Linked DNA regions of Styela clava. The protein of the gene in region 2 interacts with the protein of the main gene of each other region in a pairwise test. Links are inferred from orthologs where the notes say so. Each region holds a gene or a part of one and is shown on either strand. Other genes may lie near its edges.

Region 1 (9,992 bases), on a different chromosome or scaffold from region 2:
TTAGCGAAACGTATTGATGATGGAACTTTGGAGAAATTGAAATATCAATGCAGAGATTTAATTGGTCCTGGTCGACTTGAAAAGGTCGCGAATGCTCAAGGCTTGTTTGAAGTTCTAGAAGAGAGGGATGAACTGAGTTGCGATAACTTGGAATTTTTAAATAAAATATTGAATTACGTTGGCAGATTGGATTTGTGCAAAATTATTACATCTTATACTGACTATATAGCTGCCCTCAATGACAGTGTTACAGATCTATATCCAACTGCAGCTCCGTTTAATAGCAATGAAGGTGATACGAGTGTTCCTGAACATTCAAACACTACTTCGTCAAAAATATTCCACCCCGATGGTGAAAAAGGACCCCAAAAGACTGATATTTCTCATGGTACATACAGCGCCGTCAATGAAAGACAGAATTGTACAAGACCTTTTGATACATCTTCAAATGTTCCCCAACACCAGCAGCCCAGTTCGAATCACAATCAAATGACTGGTAATCGTAATCAGTCAAATACTCACCAAGCAGCCCTAAGGATGGGTAATCGTAATCAGTCAAACACTCACCAGACAGACCCAATGATGGATAATCGTAATCAGTCAAACACTCACCAGGCAGACCCAATGATGGGTAATCGTAGTCAGTTAAACCCAATAGGTCATGCCATTCCTCCTCAAGTGGAAACTGCTCTTGAACTGGTAATTAGTTCGATAGCTAGGGGATGGCAGAGTGCAGCCAGGCATCTCGGTGTCCCCGATGTTATCATAGATAGTGCTCAAGACAATTGGCCCAGGAATGTAAGAAATCAAATAAGAGAAGCTTTCACATATTGGGCGAGGTAAATATATATGCAGTAATGCACACAACATTAATTTTTAAATCAATAGCTCTTAGACAGCCATTAGATACATTATAATGTATACATACAAAGTGCAGGAAAATCAATGTAAAATTATTGGAGTCATAGGTAGAAGATTATACATTTTTGATAATTTTGATTTAATATCATTTGCTTTCAGAAAAAATCCTTTTTTACTTTCGATTTGAAAATTACATTTAAGACCTACCATTTTTGATATAAGTTATGCCACTGATGATGACATGCAGTTGTCCAAATTCTTGTGATGAAAGGAAACTGAAAAAGGTGCATATCCACAAACTTTTGAGTAAAAGCTACTGTGTTACTGTAATTTCTTATTCCATTATGAGGGATTTTATTTTACTACCATATATGTATTATATAACTGCCATGGAGTAATTTACACGACTGAGAATAACGACTTTTATTTTCGACAGATCTGATGACGAGGCATCTGTTGCTAAATTAATTGAGGCAATGAGACGTTCTGGAAGGAATGATATAGCAGATGACTTGCAGTATGGCTGAAATGAATTCTTCAAATTTAACTATATACACTGTTCTATGTCTATTTTTTCTGTAAATCAAAGTGCAAGCAATGAAAAAAAGCAGAATCTGGAACTGGGTTTGAGCTGGGCCCAATCGTGGCATGAGCCCACAGACTATATCCTACTAAGGTAGTAAATTGATCTCAAATACACCCATCTCATACAACTGTATCAATAATATAGACACAGGAGATTTTTTTCATTCAAAAATCTTGCATGTGTATTTGTTTAAATTTGGTTTAGTGGAGTGTGTTGTTGATTTCAGCATATTGATTGAAAGCTTTGCACTTTTTGAATTTTTTTACAATGAATTTTGATTGCGATATTATAATCCTATTTCATGATTGTCCTTGTCAACTATAGAGTTCTCTTCACAACAGCATATGATTATCTAATCAAGCCTTGCATTACATGACAAATAACGGGTCATGGAATCGAATTATCTCAATACTATCCTGTGGATTGCAGTCTCACTGCTTAATAAAATAGGCTTCTCTGCCACAATGCAAACACATGAACATGTCAACACTGCTGTCCCGTAAAAAATCTTCATATTCTCGTCTAATAAAAAGTTTATTTTAATGCTTTAGAGAGAGTATTTCATCATATTCACCCAAGCGGAATAGGAAAATATGTCTTTTTCTTGAATTATTCATAGTCACCTGACTCGCCGTAAACACAGAAAGTTTCAATGTAGGAAAGTTATATTACTACAATGAGCAAGAAAAAAAAATTACTGAAGCAAGAGAACAATCACAGAATAGGGCTAGGATCAAATCATTGTAAAATATGCATAATAAAATTGTACGATTTTGGTTTTGTATGATGTTCTTGATATTTTAAACTCCAAGATAGTGATTTTCAGGAAGTATAATGTGGTTACACAGATTGTCAATTTAATACGGTAGAACCAATCATTCGACAAAGCTGTGCTGTTCAGATCAAAATGTGTAGTAACCTAATCCATCGAGCTTAAGGGTTTTGCGGGCTCGTTCATTTATCAGAACTCAATTTGACTAAATCTTTTGCTTCAAATGATCGAGTATAAAAACAAATGAAAATTCCAAATTACCTATGCAAAGCTGAAATGTAGGATTACCCCATACATGGGTCTGATATACAAAATGGAATTGAAACGCACGACTATTACATACTAAACTTTCTTTGAGATAAAGAAACAAAAGGTAAATTTAGGTGACTTTGTGATCCTTCTAACCCTACTGGTTGGTATTTGGATAGTGATGAAAGCTCATAAGTTAAAAATAAGAGTATATCAAGCAAATGTACAAAACACATCATTAAGGACTAATTGAAATCTATTAGCCAGTCTGAACATTACTGGAATCAAAAGTGCTTAGATTTTCTTACAATATTAACATGACGGCCGCTTTTCGGCATTATTCTTTGTATGAGCTTCCGCATTTTTATTAAATTTCTTTCGATCTTTCGTGTACTCTTCAGCAAGCTCTCCTCTCAGTGGGTGCTCTGGCTCTGGGTGTTCAATCATGTGAAGCAGAGCTTGCAGAACTGAAGGAAATGCATAAGCCAATCATAAATATTCAAGGCATATAATTAAATTTCCCTATTTTGTTATTGTAATACCAAGTTATGAGTTAGACACCCAATCATAGTCTGAGAGGGACCAGAGCACTATAAGCTGTTGGAGAAAAGTTTAACACTCCTGCGTTGTTATATTACATGTGGGCCACCGTTTAGAGGAATGATTTTGTTCGACTAAATAAAGTTAGGTACGAATATTATATCAACATCATGGCTGCTACTTTTAAAATCGTTGACGCAAACGGTACTAGAGCATATTTAACTATCATTTATCAGGTGTATGAATTTTAGAGGTCAAACGAACTGTTACGAAAATTAAATTTTCTGATATTCGATGAATCCATTGAATTTTTTTTTTCTACCAACTTTATTCGATCTTTAGTCCATTGATAATATTAAATCAATTTATTTTGTAGTCATTCTTAGTTTATGAAATGTTAACAATAATATAATATTGTACACAGGAGCGTAGCCAGGTGGTCCGGCCAGAAAACATTCATTTTCCAAAATCTTGAGGGTCTATAAAAATTGCTATGTAAAGGGGGGGGGGGGGAATTTGAGTGGAAGCTTTCTGCCCAGATACAAATTCTACCACTAACCAACAATTTTATTGGCAAGTTAACAAATGTATTTAGTTTGATAAAAATATAATACAGTAATAGGTGATAGTAAATGAAACAAATTTTGAAACAACATAAATCTGCCAAATATACTGACATCTCTTTTACACAATGAATTTCTATGCAATTAGATAACATGATGAAACAATATCTGTAGCAGGAAATGCAGTTGTGAAATTCAAGCAAAATTCTGCTTGATGAATTAGCCAGAACGCCTTTGAATTTTTATGGCAATATAACAACTTACCCTGTGCAGTTTTTGTTGCTGGTTTCCAGTGTTCTGGGCTGATTATAGGAAGACATATTTGACCTTTCTCATCAACATTGGGGTGGTAGATGCTTGTTTTGAATGTTATTTTTGGTGGTTTAAATGGGTATGATGATGGAAAATTGATTTCTATCTTGAAAGCCCCTTTATTGTATGGACTTTGGTCCTAAAAATACAATTTAAAATGTTTTCAACTGTTACTTTTTAAATCTAATAAACAAGTACTGTAAAATATTAAATATACCGGCAGAAGAAGGATCCTCCAAAGTAAGGCGTTTGAATCGTCTAATTTTACTTCAAGCCTTTTGTCTTTGTCACTGTTAATATCTTGATATTCCTGAAAATCAAGATGTCAACAAGTTTTTTTATGTGCCGCACAAATTGAATAGCTGAGTAATGCTCAATTTGAATGATGAACAAAAAATACATTAACTTGTGATTAATCAAATTAGAAACTAAGAGCCTCATAGCAAAAATTATACTGATTTGATTTTTGTAACCAACTCAATTTTTCATAAAGATGAGGGCATAAATTATACACTAATATGCTGAATATGGCTTATCAATATTAAAAATACAGTACTCCTGTAGTATGTGTACCGGGTTAGGCCATAATTTTATTCTGATTTTCCTTATTTTAGTTCTATTACGAGTTCAGGGACTGTTTGTGTTAGCAAAGTGAATATACCCCCTTGCCCATAGGCTACACAACTTGATGTAAAGTACCCAAACAAAATTTGTTACCTCCATATTGGTACACATACTTCTGTAGCGCCAAAAATACAGCATACAGAAAATTATGGAACCCTGTCATCAGGAGTCGATGAAACATACTGACATGCCATAACTCTGTTACTGGCATACAACAATTAACATTGCAATGACGTTATTACAGTCATAATCCATGTAATCACATTTCCCTGCATTAATTCAGACAAAGGCTGAATAATTACACTTTTGAAATATTATACTCACTTTTGCTAATCTTTTTGATGCAGACATTTTGCTGAATGTCAGACTATAGCAATTAACTTTAATCTAGGCTATATTCCTGTATTCTAGAGTAGGAGGTATATCTAAAATAGAATTTCCATATTTATCCCGGGGAGAGTAAAGCCGATAAGACGGATTATTCATATGGCAAACCACGGTCTCTCAACCAGTTTCCAGCCCATGTTGGGTACCGGTACCGGTATGGGGGTTAGGCTGGTTAGCCAATTACGGTACCTACCAGTATCTGTTTCAGACGCATGGACTTGATGATGAAGGAAGCCTAAACCGACTAGCGGTTACCGAACCGCAGTACCGGTACGTGAACCACCCTCAAGCAAGGGATTTGTACCCACGCATGATACGGTAATCAGAGGTGCGGTGGTAAGCGTGTTCCTCCTAACGCTTAGCACCGATGCGCCACTACCCCCGAGATAAATATGTGAATCTTATCCTATACCGTACATGCAAATGTTTCACTGTCTGTACTAGGAACAAACCTCCCGAAGTGACGGAACTTCCTGTGCTGAAGCTCCATTAAACGCACTAAACCAAAGCCTGAGGTACAACCGAGCTTTTTCTTTAACCTTTCACCCCAGAAAAAATCTTCTTGTCATACCATAGTTACATCATAATGATAGTTATTCGACTGTATGTTAGTCGTTGCTACTAACTGATGCCGAAATGGATGGATGTCTTTCCACAGAGAAAGATAATGATGTTGACCATCTATAGCAGTGTTTCCCAAACTTTTTTCTGCCAGCGCCCCCTTGGACGACTTTTTAACTAGCAAGCGCCCCTCCCCCCCTCCTGACAAAAAAGTCAAACAACATTATTCTCCATTTAACATTAGTATAATGTGAAGGTTTGAGCATAGCGAAATATCTGGCTCCATTTCAGTCAAAAACAGTCTTTAGTCTTGTCTGGCATTGTCAAGGGAATCTCTCTTGATATGTAAAAGTACGGTCACTGCGCGCTCTACCAAGAATGAGCTGTCACGAGCAATAAAAAAATTTCGACCAGATCTCACACGTGAGGATATTTCAATTTGATTCTGTTGCCAAAAAATAGAACAATGAAAGACTGAACATGGGTTTGAAAGTATAAACTCAATGGTAATGGTGCATGTTCGTTCGGGTTATTTAGAAACGGAAACCAAAAATTTCATAACTATTTCCAAAAAAATCATTTAGTTTTGAACTTGAACTTCTGTTTGCCTATAATTATACAGAAGTTTTGCAAAATTTTCAACCACTCACTTAGTTTTCTGCTGGAGCGCACCTTCTGCTGCCAGGACATGGAAATGAAAGGGTTCAAACGGTGTGAATACAGAACAATACGTGGGAAGGATTGATAGAGATGACCAGCGATGGTTCCAGCATGACCACCCATACATCAAATCAGACGCTTGCTGTCCTGAGAGAAAAGTCAGCAATGACATTCAGTAGGCTCCTTAATTATCGGACTGAATTCTCTCAGGTTTTGATATGTAGGGTGTTCGAAAGACAATCCATAAACGATTGGGGAACTCAAGGCTGCAATTGCAGAAATAAAATAGAGAAATACCCAGAGAAGAGTGATTGACAATGTTGCAAAAAGTAGGTAGGGAAGATGGGGCACGTTGGGACATGGGGCACAGTGGAAAATCAGCTCTCACACTAATACTATATTCGGAATCCTGTCCGCGGTTTGATGTTTCAATCCGCCCTTCGGTGAGTTACAACGTCCCCGCAAACAGACAGCGGACGGGTAGAGCGACGCAAGCTATGAGGTGAAATTGGTTTTGGGGGGTTGAAACTAAAATTTCACCGTTCCAGTTTTTTCTTTCTTCTAACTTAGCCTTTTCAACATGACAAACCACCGTCTGATATTTTTCAGCTATAGTCCACCGTGAAATATTTATAACGTTGGCGAGTGGATGGGCCTTCCGAATTTCGCCGTGGGATGATCTGAAGATATTTGTGGATTAGAGAGAGAGAGAGAGAGAGATTTATTGCCACAAAAACAAAATCAACACTAATATAAACATACTACAATAACGAAAATATTCCACAGTAATTGATTATTGCTTTGTGCGGGTCGGTGTGCAAGACCGATTAAAGTCATCTAGTGCTATATATAAGTTCATCATAGGTGAATACAAATGAGATTAAATATAAATATATAAAAAATGAATACGAGGATAAAGGGAAACGAGTCGGCAATTTAATGGTATTATGGAAGTTACTAAGGGCAATTTAGGATTTAGAGAGGTCATGTGTTGGTTGAAGCCGGAGATGTCCAATGAAAAAATTTTCACGAAAAGCATATTTTTTGTTATTGGACACAGACCGGGATCAAAAATGAATACGGAGGATGAAAAATAATATTATCACAGATTCAGTAATAGACCGAGTGCATGATGTAAAAAAATATCATTACTTGTCGATCTTGTTTATCGATCTTTGTCTGTTTGTCTGTCTGTTAGATGCAAGCGATATCTCAAGAAAGCGGGGTTTAATCTCCACCCAATCCAATTTTGCATGTGCGTTCATCATTTCACGGACCATATGGCTATTGATTTTGGTAGAGTTATGTCGTATAATTAGGGAGCTATTAATTAATTGGTGTTTGGACACACGGTGTCACTATAGAGTCATGAATCGAAACCGCAGTTTTGATCGATAAGTCTTTGGTCTCCGACCGATACTCTCGTTTGACACCTTAATTAGTTCACGATATAAAAAGGTTATTGAATTAAAAGTGGCTACCAACATTCTTAAGTATTAATACATACTTTTGAAATAGAATAGTAGGTAATATATGATCCACAGTTAAATATGAACAATTAAATATGCAATTATTATTGCAGTTAATCACTTTTTCACAATATATAAAGGTTATTAAATTAATTAACAAATGGGCTACTATCATTTATAAGTATTTATGCATACTTGGAACTAGAATATTAATATGTGATCCACAATTAAATACGCAATAACTATGCAGTTCATCAGTAATACCACAATAACTTCCAATGACATAAAAAAGGTAATTACAGTATATTAGGCAGTACTATATGGATCAAGGGAGCAAGATTTTATACTCAATTACATGGAGAAATGAAAATAACAATGAGCCAATCATAAGATAGAAATATCAATAACAATGGGTTTTAAAGTCGAACATAGAAATCATCAAATTGATGCCAATGAAAGAAAAGAGGACAGCAATTTTATTACCTATATACATACATGAGTTGGAAAAAAGGCTATGACCCTCAGTGTGCAGTGTTTATATGAAACAGTTAAATTTATAGTAATGTAGTAATTTATATAATGCAGTTTTCAACACAGTTCTAAAGGCATATTAATTAAACTACAGATATTAGGACAAGTTAGAATATTTCAGTAGGAAATATTTTTTCAGTTTCTTACTGAAAACATGCACAGAACTTTTTTTAGTTTCAGGTGGAACATTGCCCCAGACCTGTACACCCATATACTTCAAAGATGTTTTGTCCACCTCAGTGGACACTTGTGGAGTAAAGAAAACCTTGTTTCTTTGAGACCTGGTGCAGTAATTGTGCACTTTTTTTAATGGGGTGAAATAATACCGATGCATGAACTTTGCTATTTCTGGCGTATGTATATCAGACAGCTGTAGGAATTCATACTGGTAGTAGAGCTGCAAATTAGTTACACGAACTTTCTCTGCAATTGCCATACATCGTAAATCTTTATTCTGCAAAACATGAACTGGCTGTAAGGAAGACCTTGATGCTGAGCCCCAACTTAGCAGACCATATTGCAGACGTGAGTGAAATAGACTAAAATATACTAATTTAAGTGTTTTAGATTTCAAAATATGCCTTAACCTGTAAAATATTCCAAGAGTTTGCGATAATTTCTTGGATTTTGTTTGTTCTATAATGTTGCTGCCAATGCCAACTCTAAATGTGGAAATACCATACTTTTTATCACAGAACAACATAAATTTTGTTTTTGAATAATTTAGGGATAATTTGTTCGCTTTAAGCCAATTATCGACCTTCTGGAGTTCATGATTCACCACAGTTTGGAGTTCTAAACTACAGGATGCTGATTTTAGCAGAGAAGTATCATCGGCAAATAATGTCGAATGAAAAGTAGATGCCAAAGATAGATCGTTTATGTAGCATAGAAATAACAGCGGGCCAATCGTGGAACCCTGGGGTACCCCACATTCAATAAGGCCCATTTCATAGATACAATCCCCATATTGGACATATTGTTTGCGGCCACTTAAATATGATGCAATAAGATGATATGCCTTTCCTCGAATGCCATAATGATATAACTTATCTAGTAAAATTTGGTGGTTAACAGTATCAAAAGCTTTCGCAAGATCCAAAAAGATGGCACATGTGATCTTGTTATTGGCCTTATTTTCTATTATCATTTCTTTGAGCCGTGCTATGGCTAGCTCAGTTGAATAGTTGTTTCGGAAACCAAACTGGGAAAGGCTCAAAGTTTCATGTTTATCGAAATAATATTTGAGACGATGATATAAATTTTTTTCATAAATCTTGGCAATTTGTGATAGCAGGGAGATTGGCCTATAATTATTCGGATCATGCTTAGACCCTTTCTTATGGAGCGGGATCACCTTAGCTATTTTCAGTATATCTGGATACACATGATCTGTAAAACTTTGATTAAAAAGAGAGGATAAAATTGGTGATAAAACAAGCTTGGCGATTTTGAACATTTTCACTGGTATATCATCACTACCTACAGCTTTATTACTATCTAATTTATCTATTTGTTTTTCAATTTTCAGTGGTGTGGTATCACGAAGAAAAAATGATTCACTGATGCTTGGTCCAAGAGTATGCATGTGGCTGTTCACAGCTGGACTTATTTTTGACGCAAGCATTGGACCAACTCTTAGGAAATGATGATTCAGGGCAGCACAAATGCCAGTATCATCAGAAATTTTCTTACCATCACTTATAATATAAGGTGGTAGTTTGTTAACCTTGGAATAATTACCAATTTCTTTGCGAATTTCGGTCCATGTTTTTGCAATATCTTTTTGGTGTTGAGAAAATATGTTTTTATAATATTCTTGTTCGGCTCTTGTGAGAGTCCTACATAACGCATTTCTATACTTCTTGTATTTTTTT
Region 2 (10,701 bases):
AACTTGGGTATTTTCGAAAAATTCATCAAAACTGCGACTCGCTTTTCAGACTTTAGAATTTAAAAGTTACTAAAGCTGATCTCAATTTTAGCGTTGAATTGGTTTTTAGCGCGAGTTTTGTTGATGTTGTTATTTTAAAATACAAACTTGAGTTTTGTTTTGTTGCTAATTTGATTCGCGTTGTTTTTTATGCGGCTCCTTACAACTTTAGGGTTTAAAATTTGGCAATAACACTAAAAAGGTTGAGAACTGCACTAGACCATAATGAACATGTCTTAACCTAAGCGAAATCTCAGGTGCTCCAGAAGTACGTGTACCAATATGGAGGCAGCTAATTATGTTCGCCTACTTTAAATCAAGTTGTACAAAGGAACGGAAGCCTATGGACAGAGGGATATTCACTTGGCTAACACAGACATTCTCTGAACTCGTAATAGAACTAAAATAAAGGATATCTGAATAAAAATATGGCCGAACCCTAACCTGGTAGGCTACACACACTACAGGAGTATCAAATGTTAAGCAAGTTCTGTAAAATTACAGAAGTACATTTGTGTTAGTACGCCGCAAGACTCTTAAATCATATAAAATAGATTTCCCAAACGTACATTTGCCTCCGTTCTCTTTCAATATATCCAACACACTCAGCGTGGCCGATCCTAAGATTGTGTCGGTCTTCAATGAACTGTAGCTGAATACTTTGAATTCTATCATTGATGTCGGCTTCACTAGTCTAGGAATAGAAATGAATAACAATGAAATTTGGTCCATATCAGTGCCCTATGTATGATACAGAAAAATACCTTTTTTTAAATTTCAAAAAAAAGGAGGAGGGATTGCAACCCTCTATGGCTACACCACTGATTAGACAAGTCAATATCAGCAAAATTTCTGTTATCAAAAGAAGTGCCCTTCAACCTTTTTAAAGTCTTGTGATACACATGACATGCAATTGGACTTACCGTGGGATCCCCTTTTATAAAAAACACCAATATCTATTATGAAGTCAAATATTTCGGTGTTGGACGCCCCAACATGATAAAATGCAAGAAATGACCCTCCTGCTCTTGGATTTCTCTCCCAAGCATTTTAACCTCGTGGCTTCATGTTGCACAATGCAATCCTTATGGTCTCAGACACACTACTCACAAGACTTGTGTTTTTATTCCTAATTATTGTTGATGCAAAACATATAAAAAGGTTTGAAAAATTGACACACATAAATGCGTCCACCCATACACAAGAAACTTTCACAATAAGTGTTTCGCGGGATAGGATTCCACTATAGGATATAGGAACTATAGGATTCCATGGAATCCTGGTTCCTAAGTTTTTTTCAGGCAAGTCAAATTTTTGAAAATTCCATAAAATCTCACAACTCATGAATATGCTTAAATACTAGGCCGTGTATAATGCTTATGCTTTCATCTGTCACTAAATTATTTGACCGACTAATAACAGCACATGATGTGAAATTTCTCCATATACAATTACTATCGAGCAACACTTCAATGAAAAAATAAAATAAACAATAAAATTCACTAGAAAATAAAAGCAGTAACTTCTAGGTTTTTGTAGAAAATACAAACGAAGCGAGAAAATTTTCAGGCGACTCATAGGTTGGGATACACTGATCTAGACCAGAGAATATGTCTATTTTTTACTTGTATTTCATCAGCTCTAGCTGCATAAACGTGGCCTCTAGAGTTTCTTTCATAAAATAAAATGAGTTTTTGGATATAGGCATACTTACAAGGTAAACGGTTCATTCCATTGTGGATTGTTAGATTTACTGATGATCTGTGTTTTCTTGGGAGGTTCCCCATCGAGACGTACAGTAACGTACGAATCCACTACTTTGATCGTACCAAACCATCCTTTTGGATGAAGGACCCCGCTTTTCACTGAAAATTTTAAATAATGAATAGTACAAGTTGGTTAGAGGGGGAGTGGGGGTAGGAATCATTTTTGACAACAGAAGACTCTGCGCCCATACACAAAAACAACTCCTGAATATGTAGAAGTAGGAGTAATGAAGGCTTTACCAGATGCAATTTTAATGAATGCACATAAAAAAAATTTGAAATATTCGATTTTTGTATTTCACTTGTAATATTAAAATGCCAGAGTAAATAAAGATTTAATATCAGGTGGTACATCGCTCGAAATACGGATATCGGTAGACCACAGTCACCTACAAATGTTTGCTAACATCAAACACTGAAATCAGTCAGAAAAGACACAGTTTAAAAAAAGGTTCATAATTTCCACAGAGATGCTTCAACCCAAAATTTATTTTTACAAGTCAGTCAATAGGATGGCATGCAACAACAACATTCACTAAGTTTCAGAGTTGAATAATTCCAGAAATTGGGTATAAGTATATTCTACAAATACTCTTGATTTCGGAACTAAAGCCAGTAATTTCGAACCAGTTCCCCAGCTCTGCTTCGTACTGAGTGTTTGAAAGCATGCCTTAGATATAAAAAATATAACAAAAAAATTTAAAAAAATCAATCATACCTGTCACTTGAAGTTGTGAAAGTGACGCTTGAGGTCCATTAGTCTGCATAGTTATTGTTTATTATGATGTCACAACACCTCTGATACTGTGGTTGTTTTCAGCCTGGTGTTTCATTCATTTTGGTATCTTACATATTTTAGATTTATCCCACTTAATTAAGTTATCTGTAAAACCATGAAGTTAATTGAAAAGAGCAAAGAAAATACAGACTGAAAATATAGTATGTTGTGCTGACCATTAGGAATACATTCACTGTCTACATGTGTGATTTCTCAGGTCCAAATCTCTCGGGGGATGATTACGTCTGCAGAGGATTGCTGGACTCCTCACCGTCGTAGGGTGGTTCACATACGGTTACGACTTCTGTTGCCATCAAGTCCATGAGTATGAAACAAATAACTAGCTAACTAATCCTATACCCAACATTAACGTGGGTTGCCATATTATGGTTAAACATAGTTCTCTGATTCCAGAATAGCGGCTATAAATTGGAACATCAAAAAATGCATGCACGTCTTTAAAACAGGGGGCTTCGAGTGGGCAGAATGCTTAATGCGTGAGATGTAAAATGCATGTACGTCTTTAAAACAGGGGGCTTCGGGTGGGCAGAAAGCTTATTGCGTGAGATGTAAAATGCATATACGTCTTTAAAACAGGGGGCTTCGAGTGGGCAGAAAGCTTAATGCGTGAGATGTAAAATGCATGCACGTCTTTAAAACAGGGGGCTTTGAGTGTGCAGAAAGCTTAATGCGTGCCTGGATATACATCACAGAATGTCACATACAGAACGACTCTCGCATCGAGGCATTCACTTTGATATTTTAGTATAGATTGTTCGTGTCAAAATTTAAATAAAAATCGCCATGACAGATGGTATCATAATCCGTTGTGAGTTTCTATCATGAAAAAAACCCAAAGATGCATTGTTCAATTGTTATCATGTATGGACAGACTGACGAACATATCATTGATTTCGTGCTTCGTTTTGATGTATGATATATTGTTGACCTGAGTAATTTTTAACCTGAGCGTCACATATTGCAGTAGTATATATCTTTTATTATGTTTATTTCATGTGATAAGAGCCTATATTGTGTTGATCAAAATGTAATTTTTATTATCTCTCATCTATGTGTTATCATAAACATGTCATCCTGTCTATAATGAAAATAAAAGCTCGTAGACACGAGGAACAAGCCAAGCCAAGGTTGTGCAACGATGGAAGCCAGATATGAGATTGGATGCGTCAATTAAAATTCGGTGACATCATCGGAGCTCGGTTACACGCCTATAGTTTTTGCATTTCTCTCAAACGCTTCGGTAATTTTTTTTTCCTTCAGTAGATCAGATTGTTATTTCCGAGAAATCCAATGGTGGTGGTTTGAAGTTGCGTTTCTTTATAGTTTGTTCCCGAAAGGGAAGGTCTGACATTCCTGAAAGAAGGAGTCCGACGTTCCTGAAAGGAAGGGTCAGTATTCATCGGTAAAATGGAATCTTCTGAAACTGAAATGTTGCTCGATCTGTAAATTGTGCCATACTGTAATATTTATCTTAACTCTTGTCTTGATCAATTTTGGCGTAGAAAGGAAAAAGAGAAAAGCTAGTAGAATTAAAAAAAAAATAAAAAATTTATATTCAGGGTTACAAATAGCTACACGTAGAATTCTAGAATTTATAACCACTTTATATTAATAAATATTTTTACTGTGAACTTATTTCAATTGGGGCGAACATGGAGAGAGCTGACTCTGATGACCGCATGGTCGTATCGCTTGCTCCAGTCAGCCAATTCATACCGAGAAACGTTGTTTCTACTGCTTTATATTTATTATTATTATCATCATATTTATGTATTTATGTTTTTTATTGTTGACAAATAATTAATCTCTCTCTCGATAGCAAACTACTACTACTGACTGACAAATCTTAATGCATAAATAAATTTCTGTTATGTCATAAAACCTAAAAACGAGATTTTCAGATTCCGAGCTGTCTGAGCTGTGCTTTTTATTATCAATAGACTTATCATAAACCAAATGAATTTCTGCTTCATTCAATTTAATATCATAATTATGTCAGTCAACTGTCCTGTGCAATGTTCTATTAACGTCCTGAAGTCTGACTTCTACACCGTCTACAGGCAGACCCGCTGTCTGGCTGTGTCACATTACAGCATTATCTGATCACCGTACTGCACCGGTATTAGGATAGGATTTACATATTTATCCCGGATTACAGTACAGGTACCGTATTTTTATGAAATATTGCTAAAAATCTTGAATAGTTTTTATCCACTTAACAGAAATGAGCTGAAACAGGGCAGAACTCAAAACCAAACAATGAAAGTCAGGAAAGTTAAAAGTGAAAAGACAATCATACGATTACCTGTGCGTAAATATGACAACATCCTGTTCCGGTTACATGGTTAGCTCATGTCTTTTATTTACATAACATACACAATAAATGCGGAAAATTAGTAGATACCATTCATGTTTAACCTCACAAATGTATAAAAACACATTAATTTGTGATCTTTTTTACAAAAACAAGCCCCCGCTTCCAACCTTTCACTGTTTCGTAAGAAATTGGCATCGCTCCCCAGCTGACAAGTTTGCTTTATGACGTCGGTCACATGAATAAATTGAATCATTAGCGCATGACGAAATTTCAGAAAGTGGTTTACTTGTTAATATCTTTGAATAATATTCTCATTCTATGGAAAGGAAAGGTGATAAAACGGCTCAATTTTAGGGCGAGACCCGGGCGATAGACCGTGCTATCCAACAGCGACAGGAAAGCCGTTAACGCATCTCAATCATAAAACGGAAAAGGGCGCCTGTTACCCGTCATTTTTGGCATGTGAAAAGTTAATCAGTTTTAGATGCGTGGTGGACTTCATGGTCAAGAAAGCCCCAACTGGCCGCAGTCACGTGAACAGCCTTATAAAAACGAGGTGTCCCGCTAATCTCCAATGGGGGTGGAAACAGTGCATGAAACTTGAGGGGGAACCTATTCTTCACGCCATTCAGCCCTTTATCATTCCAGAAGCGATTAGCGCATAACTGCTTGTCAAATTTCTAAATGATTCTGTCCACCAAGCTAAATACATTTTGTCAATCAAGCCAAATAGCACGACAACAACTTTCCCGCTGTTAGTTGCTTGCTAAAGTCACGAGAATTGTATTCATCTACATAATTCTGGAATTACGATACGATAGATTTTCATATTTAACTCGTACCGAAGGGTATAAGTATAAGTATAAGTTTATTTCGACTCCATAATCAGCATAACAATACATTTGACAGATAAAAACAAATAAATAAAATCTGATTATGAAATCAGGGGAGCAAACAAAACCTTAGATAAGGTTTATAACGTACAAAATATAAGATGAAAGGTTTTGCCAAGAGGAAGTGGTACGTGTTTACTCACCTAAAATTATCAAGTTATTTCACACACGCTCACATGCACACACCAGCCACACACACACACAACCACTGAGAAGTTATTTAAGTAAGAATGAAACGCGATAAATTTAGGGTATACTATACAGTAAACAAAAAAAAAATAAAAAATACTAGAAAAGAAAATTATCTGCCACACCATATTGATATTTTTGTAATGGTTGCCATTGCCAAATTGATCGATCTTCTAATCGTTGATTAGGTATATAAAAGGAAGATTCTATTGAAAACATATTGCCAAGCTGATTATAGTTGGAGTCAAATGCCAAGTTGCCCAACCAAAGTTGCCAGAATTGGGTGCATGAAGAGGTGGGCGAGACCATTTCATTCCCCAAATTAGAGCCTATTATTGCCAAATTATAGTCCAGATTGTAATAAGTAATTAAGTTACCGGTAACAGTAAAATTACTATAATTAAGTAAAGTAGGATGTGGAAATAAATTGGTTACAAAGGGTCTAAGTGAGGTTTTTCATTCTTGGGTATTGATTTCAGACAAGGATATGGGAATGAGGTTGTTATTTCACAGGATATCGGGAGTCTTTTTTTGTTTTTTTCCGTATGTGTTTTACTTCATTTAATCACTTTGAAGTAACCTGAAAAACAAAAAATAAAACTGCGAGTAGATGTTTCAATGATTGGGTGAAGGGGAACGCTCTGAACTATTTATTACAGGCAAAAAATAATTGTTTAATTAAATGGGATGTATTGTCATTATATAGCGATGGATAGATGATCTATGATGACATTCTGCTTGGGACAGAGAAAAATTTATCACACCATGCAAAAAACACACAAAATTTTACTATCTATACCTTGGCCAACAAGTCAACTCAAACACCATGCCTTAACATAAAACGCATGCATACATAAATGATATAAAAACCACATCCAATTACAATGACCCACAGCAAATTAAAATCTGAAGGGGAGAATCCAACATAGCTCTACTGCTCGCCTAGTTGCAATAATTAGTAACCTTGCAGGAACAATATTGTACTATCTACAACCCTTATACCACCACTCAAACATAAGACCAAGCGTGTATGATAGGGACATCACAGCTAGAAAAAGATAAAAACACGAGCGTGAAGTGATAGAATGTGTGCAGTTATTTAAAGAAAATATCATCCGAGTACGTTAGCTACCTATATATTTAAAAAAATATATATATACTCATGCATGTCACAATACCATTTCTTTGGTGCTGGACTAGTTCTGGCCAAGTCGTGGCAAGATATTATTATAGTCGTGGCACAATATTATTATAGCTGTTCAACATTTTCATTAAAACAATAATGTGCAAGTGTGGAGTGTCCCAAGTTTTTGTCATCGAATACCACCAGTAGTAATTTTTAATATTTAATATTTGGAAACTAAATGAGACTTGACTTGTTTTTGAAAAGATTTTTTGGACTTAAACGTCTTCAAATTTAAGGGAAGAGAATTCCAAAGTTTGGGTCCAGTAAAAGACAAGGAATGCTGACTCACGGATTTACTCATGAAAGGTACGAATAAATCAGAACTACTTCTTCGGTTGGAGGTATTTTTGACAAGTATGTCATTAAAGCAATTGGGCAGCGCATTATTATGGAAGTCGTGAGCTAGAGATAGTATTTCAAATTTCATCATATCTTCAACCTTAAGTATATTTAGTGATTTGAAGTAAGAGTCTACACTTTCATGTTTTCTTTTACCAAAAACTATTCTTAAAAAATTATTACAAATACTCTGCAGTTTTGAGACAAGTGTTTTATTACCATGAAGCCAGACTGAACAACAATATCGAATATGGCTAAGTAGTAATGATTGAAACATTGCTAGTAGAGCTGATTGATCAACACACTGGGATACTTTGGCAGAAACTGCTAGGTTTCTTTTTGTTTTACCAATAACATGCATTATTTGTGATTTCCATGACAGATTTTCATCAAAGATAACTCCTAGAAATTTTATTTCTTTCACTCTTTCAATTTCATTGCCATTGAGCAGTAGTTTTTTTGAACAACTCACACTTTTATGCTTGCTTGGATGGAATAATACAAATTTAGTTTTGTTAGCATTCAGAGATAATTTATTAACTAACATCCAGCTATGAATGTTGGTTAGTTCTTGGTTTGCAACTGTGAATAGATCTTCAAGGTTTTCCCCATGAAGAATCAAGTTAGTGTCATCAGCAAACATGATCGACTCAGAGGATTTCAGACACCTGGACATGTCATTAATGTAAGCTAGAAAAAATAATGGGCCAAGTAAAGATCCTTGTGGAACTCCGTGCTTCATGACACAAATATTTGTAGAGAATGAGTTGTCATATTGCACAATTTGCTTCCTGTCTTGAAGGTAGCTCTTGATCCAATTGAATGGAACGCCTCTAATTCCATAGTGATAGAGCTTACTTAAGAGGATGGAATGGTCAATGGTGTCAAAAGCTTTTGAGATATCAAGAAATATTCCAATTGCATGTTGTTTGCATTCAAACGCATTGGTCAGTTTGTGTACCAAAACATTAGCAGCCATAGCAGTGGAGTGATGCTTGCGGAAACCAAATTGATGCGAGTGGAAAACATTGTTAGTTTCAAAGTAGTTTGACATTCTACTATACATTATTTTTTCAAGAATCTTAGAAAATGATGGTAAAAGACTAATAGGTCTATAGTTTCCAAGATCTGAAACACTACCTTTTTTAAACAGAGGAAGAACTTTGGATGTCTTGAAGCTTTCAATGAATAATCCACTAGATAGTGAAAGATTAAATATATATGTCAGGATATCAATAATATGTTCTGGAACATATTTCAATATTTTAAATGGAATACCATCGATTCCAAAACTTGACTTGGGCTTCATATCGCGTATAATATTTTTTATTTCTAATGATGTAGCTGGCCTTAAGAACATGGATGAGGATTCTTGCTTCCCAAGATATGAAATGTAATTTTTGTCACAGCCAGCTGGTTGTGGCATACAGTGTCAAGCAGGCTTTGTGCCACTTGGGAAAAGTGTTCATTAAATTTATTTGCAGTTTGTGTATTACTGCAATCAAGTCCAATCAAAGGACAAGAATTTGTTTTATTTTTACCAATAAGCTCATTAATTGTTTTCCACACTGCCTTGATGTTGCCTTTGTGAGAAGCAAATTTAGATTTGTAATAATTCGATTTCTTTTTGTGGAGCAATCGAGTATAAAGGTTCCTGCATTCATTGAACTGTAATTTGTGCTTGTCATTTATGTTTTTATTGTTTATTAATTTCTTATAAAGTTTTTGTTTGACTTTGTTGAGTTTGCGTAACTCAGTATCATACCAAGGTTTGTTTGATCTGTTTGTCTGTTTTTTGTAAGGAAAAGATTGAGAGTAAGCAGTGGAGAATTTTTCAAAAAAATTTTCAAAGCAAGTGTTGGGATCCTGGATGCTGCTGAAGTCATCAATATCAATAGAATTCAGTTCATTCTTAAACGTATTCAAGTTGGACGAAGTAAACTGGCGATAAAGCGTTTTAATTCTGGTCTGAATTTGCTTTTCTAGAAGAGAGCATTGTACAATCGGCAGATGATCAGAAACACATTCTGCTAAAACAGCACTGTTAATTTTTTTATCATATACGTTTGTCCAGATATGGTCTATACAGGTAGCAGAACTTGAAGTTATCCTGGTGGGGCAGTTTATCAAAGAATAATAGGCCAGGTTGTGCATAATATCAACAAATAGGCTGGTATTCATATTGGACTCATCAATAAGATTATAGTTGAAGTCACCCATTATATAATTATAATTCAACCTGTTCATCTTTGAGAGAACTTGGGACAAGAGATTCCGAAAGTTAGCATTGTTCAATTCATCATTTAGTGGTGATCTATAAATAGTACCGCAGGTTATTGTTTTATTTTCCAATGATATGTCAATGAATATAGATTCAAAAACCTTTTCGCACATTATAGTAATATCTTTGCGGACAATGTATTTCAAATCATTTCGAATGTAGAGACCAACACCACCACCTCGGTGATGAGATCTACTATTAGAGATAAAAACATAGCCATCCAGTGCATTGAAATGGCCATTTGTACCAGATACAATCCATGTTTCATTTACAGCAATTACATGAGGCTTACAATTCAGTGAATTAACTAGTGCTTCAAATTTTGTGAAGTTTTTGAAAGAGGCTAAAGATCTGATATTGATGGAGAGAGTCATGAAACCACTTAGTTTAAGGCTGTCGTTGAATTTAAGGGCATTGACATCACTGGAGCAGATATATTGATTTGAGCAATTGTACAAGAAAACACTATCAATGTTGTTGAATTCATCAGTATCAGTATTTGCTGATTCAAGAAACATTTTCTTAAGGTATTCAGGATCAAGAATTTTGGCAAGTGCCTGGGCTTCAGCTTTTTCTGTATGAAGGGGAACAAATAACTCAGATATTTCAGAATCAGAGAGACAAGAGAATGGCATACAGTCTATTTCACAAAGGAAACAGCACCAAGGTATTTCATCAGCTTCAGATTCAAGATTTTCATATTTTTGTCCAGAAATATTGGTACATTTTAAATGTATCCAAGAAGAACAAATGTCACAATAAAGAGCTTTTTGATTGATTCGAACTGATTTGTGGCAATTTCTACATGGGTATTTTAAATTAGTTTTCATGGCAGTGGCACAACAAAATAAAAGTAAAAAATAAAAATGAAAAAAAATAAGTTAAATATCTA

The links.
Region 1: the proteins of NEDD4-like E3 ubiquitin-protein ligase WWP1 (region 2) and ubiquitin-conjugating enzyme E2-18 kDa-like interact in binary tests that used the Caenorhabditis elegans proteins (3 or more experiments, as listed by UniProt). The link is inferred for Styela clava from reciprocal best matches to the Caenorhabditis elegans genes wwp-1 and ubc-18.

The regions. Positions count from the first base shown.
Region 1 is NC_135253.1:6,114,424-6,124,415, forward strand, and holds ubiquitin-conjugating enzyme E2-18 kDa-like, read right to left. Parts: upstream 4,991-9,992; 5' UTR 4,859-4,990; coding exon 4,832-4,858; intron 4,194-4,831; coding exon 4,101-4,193; intron 4,023-4,100; coding exon 3,836-4,022; intron 2,936-3,835; coding exon 2,781-2,935; 3' UTR 1,961-2,780; downstream 1-1,960. Other genes in the region: uncharacterized protein LOC120326413, read left to right, coding at 1-839, 1,298-1,388. UniProt on the Caenorhabditis elegans protein: Ubiquitin-conjugating enzyme E2. Accepts ubiquitin from the E1 complex and catalyzes its covalent attachment to other proteins. Required for diet restriction-mediated lifespan extension, probably acting as part of a complex with ubiquitin-protein ligase wwp-1.
Region 2 is NC_135262.1:267,094-277,794, forward strand, and holds the start of NEDD4-like E3 ubiquitin-protein ligase WWP1, read right to left. Parts: upstream 5,096-10,701; 5' UTR 4,910-5,095; intron 4,128-4,909; exon of another isoform or gene 3,981-4,127; 5' UTR 2,573-3,980; coding exon 2,524-2,572; intron 1,905-2,523; coding exon 1,754-1,904; intron 734-1,753; coding exon 609-733; intron 1-608. UniProt on the Caenorhabditis elegans protein: E3 ubiquitin-protein ligase which accepts ubiquitin from an E2 ubiquitin-conjugating enzyme in the form of a thioester and then directly transfers the ubiquitin to targeted substrates. Ubiquitinates klf-1.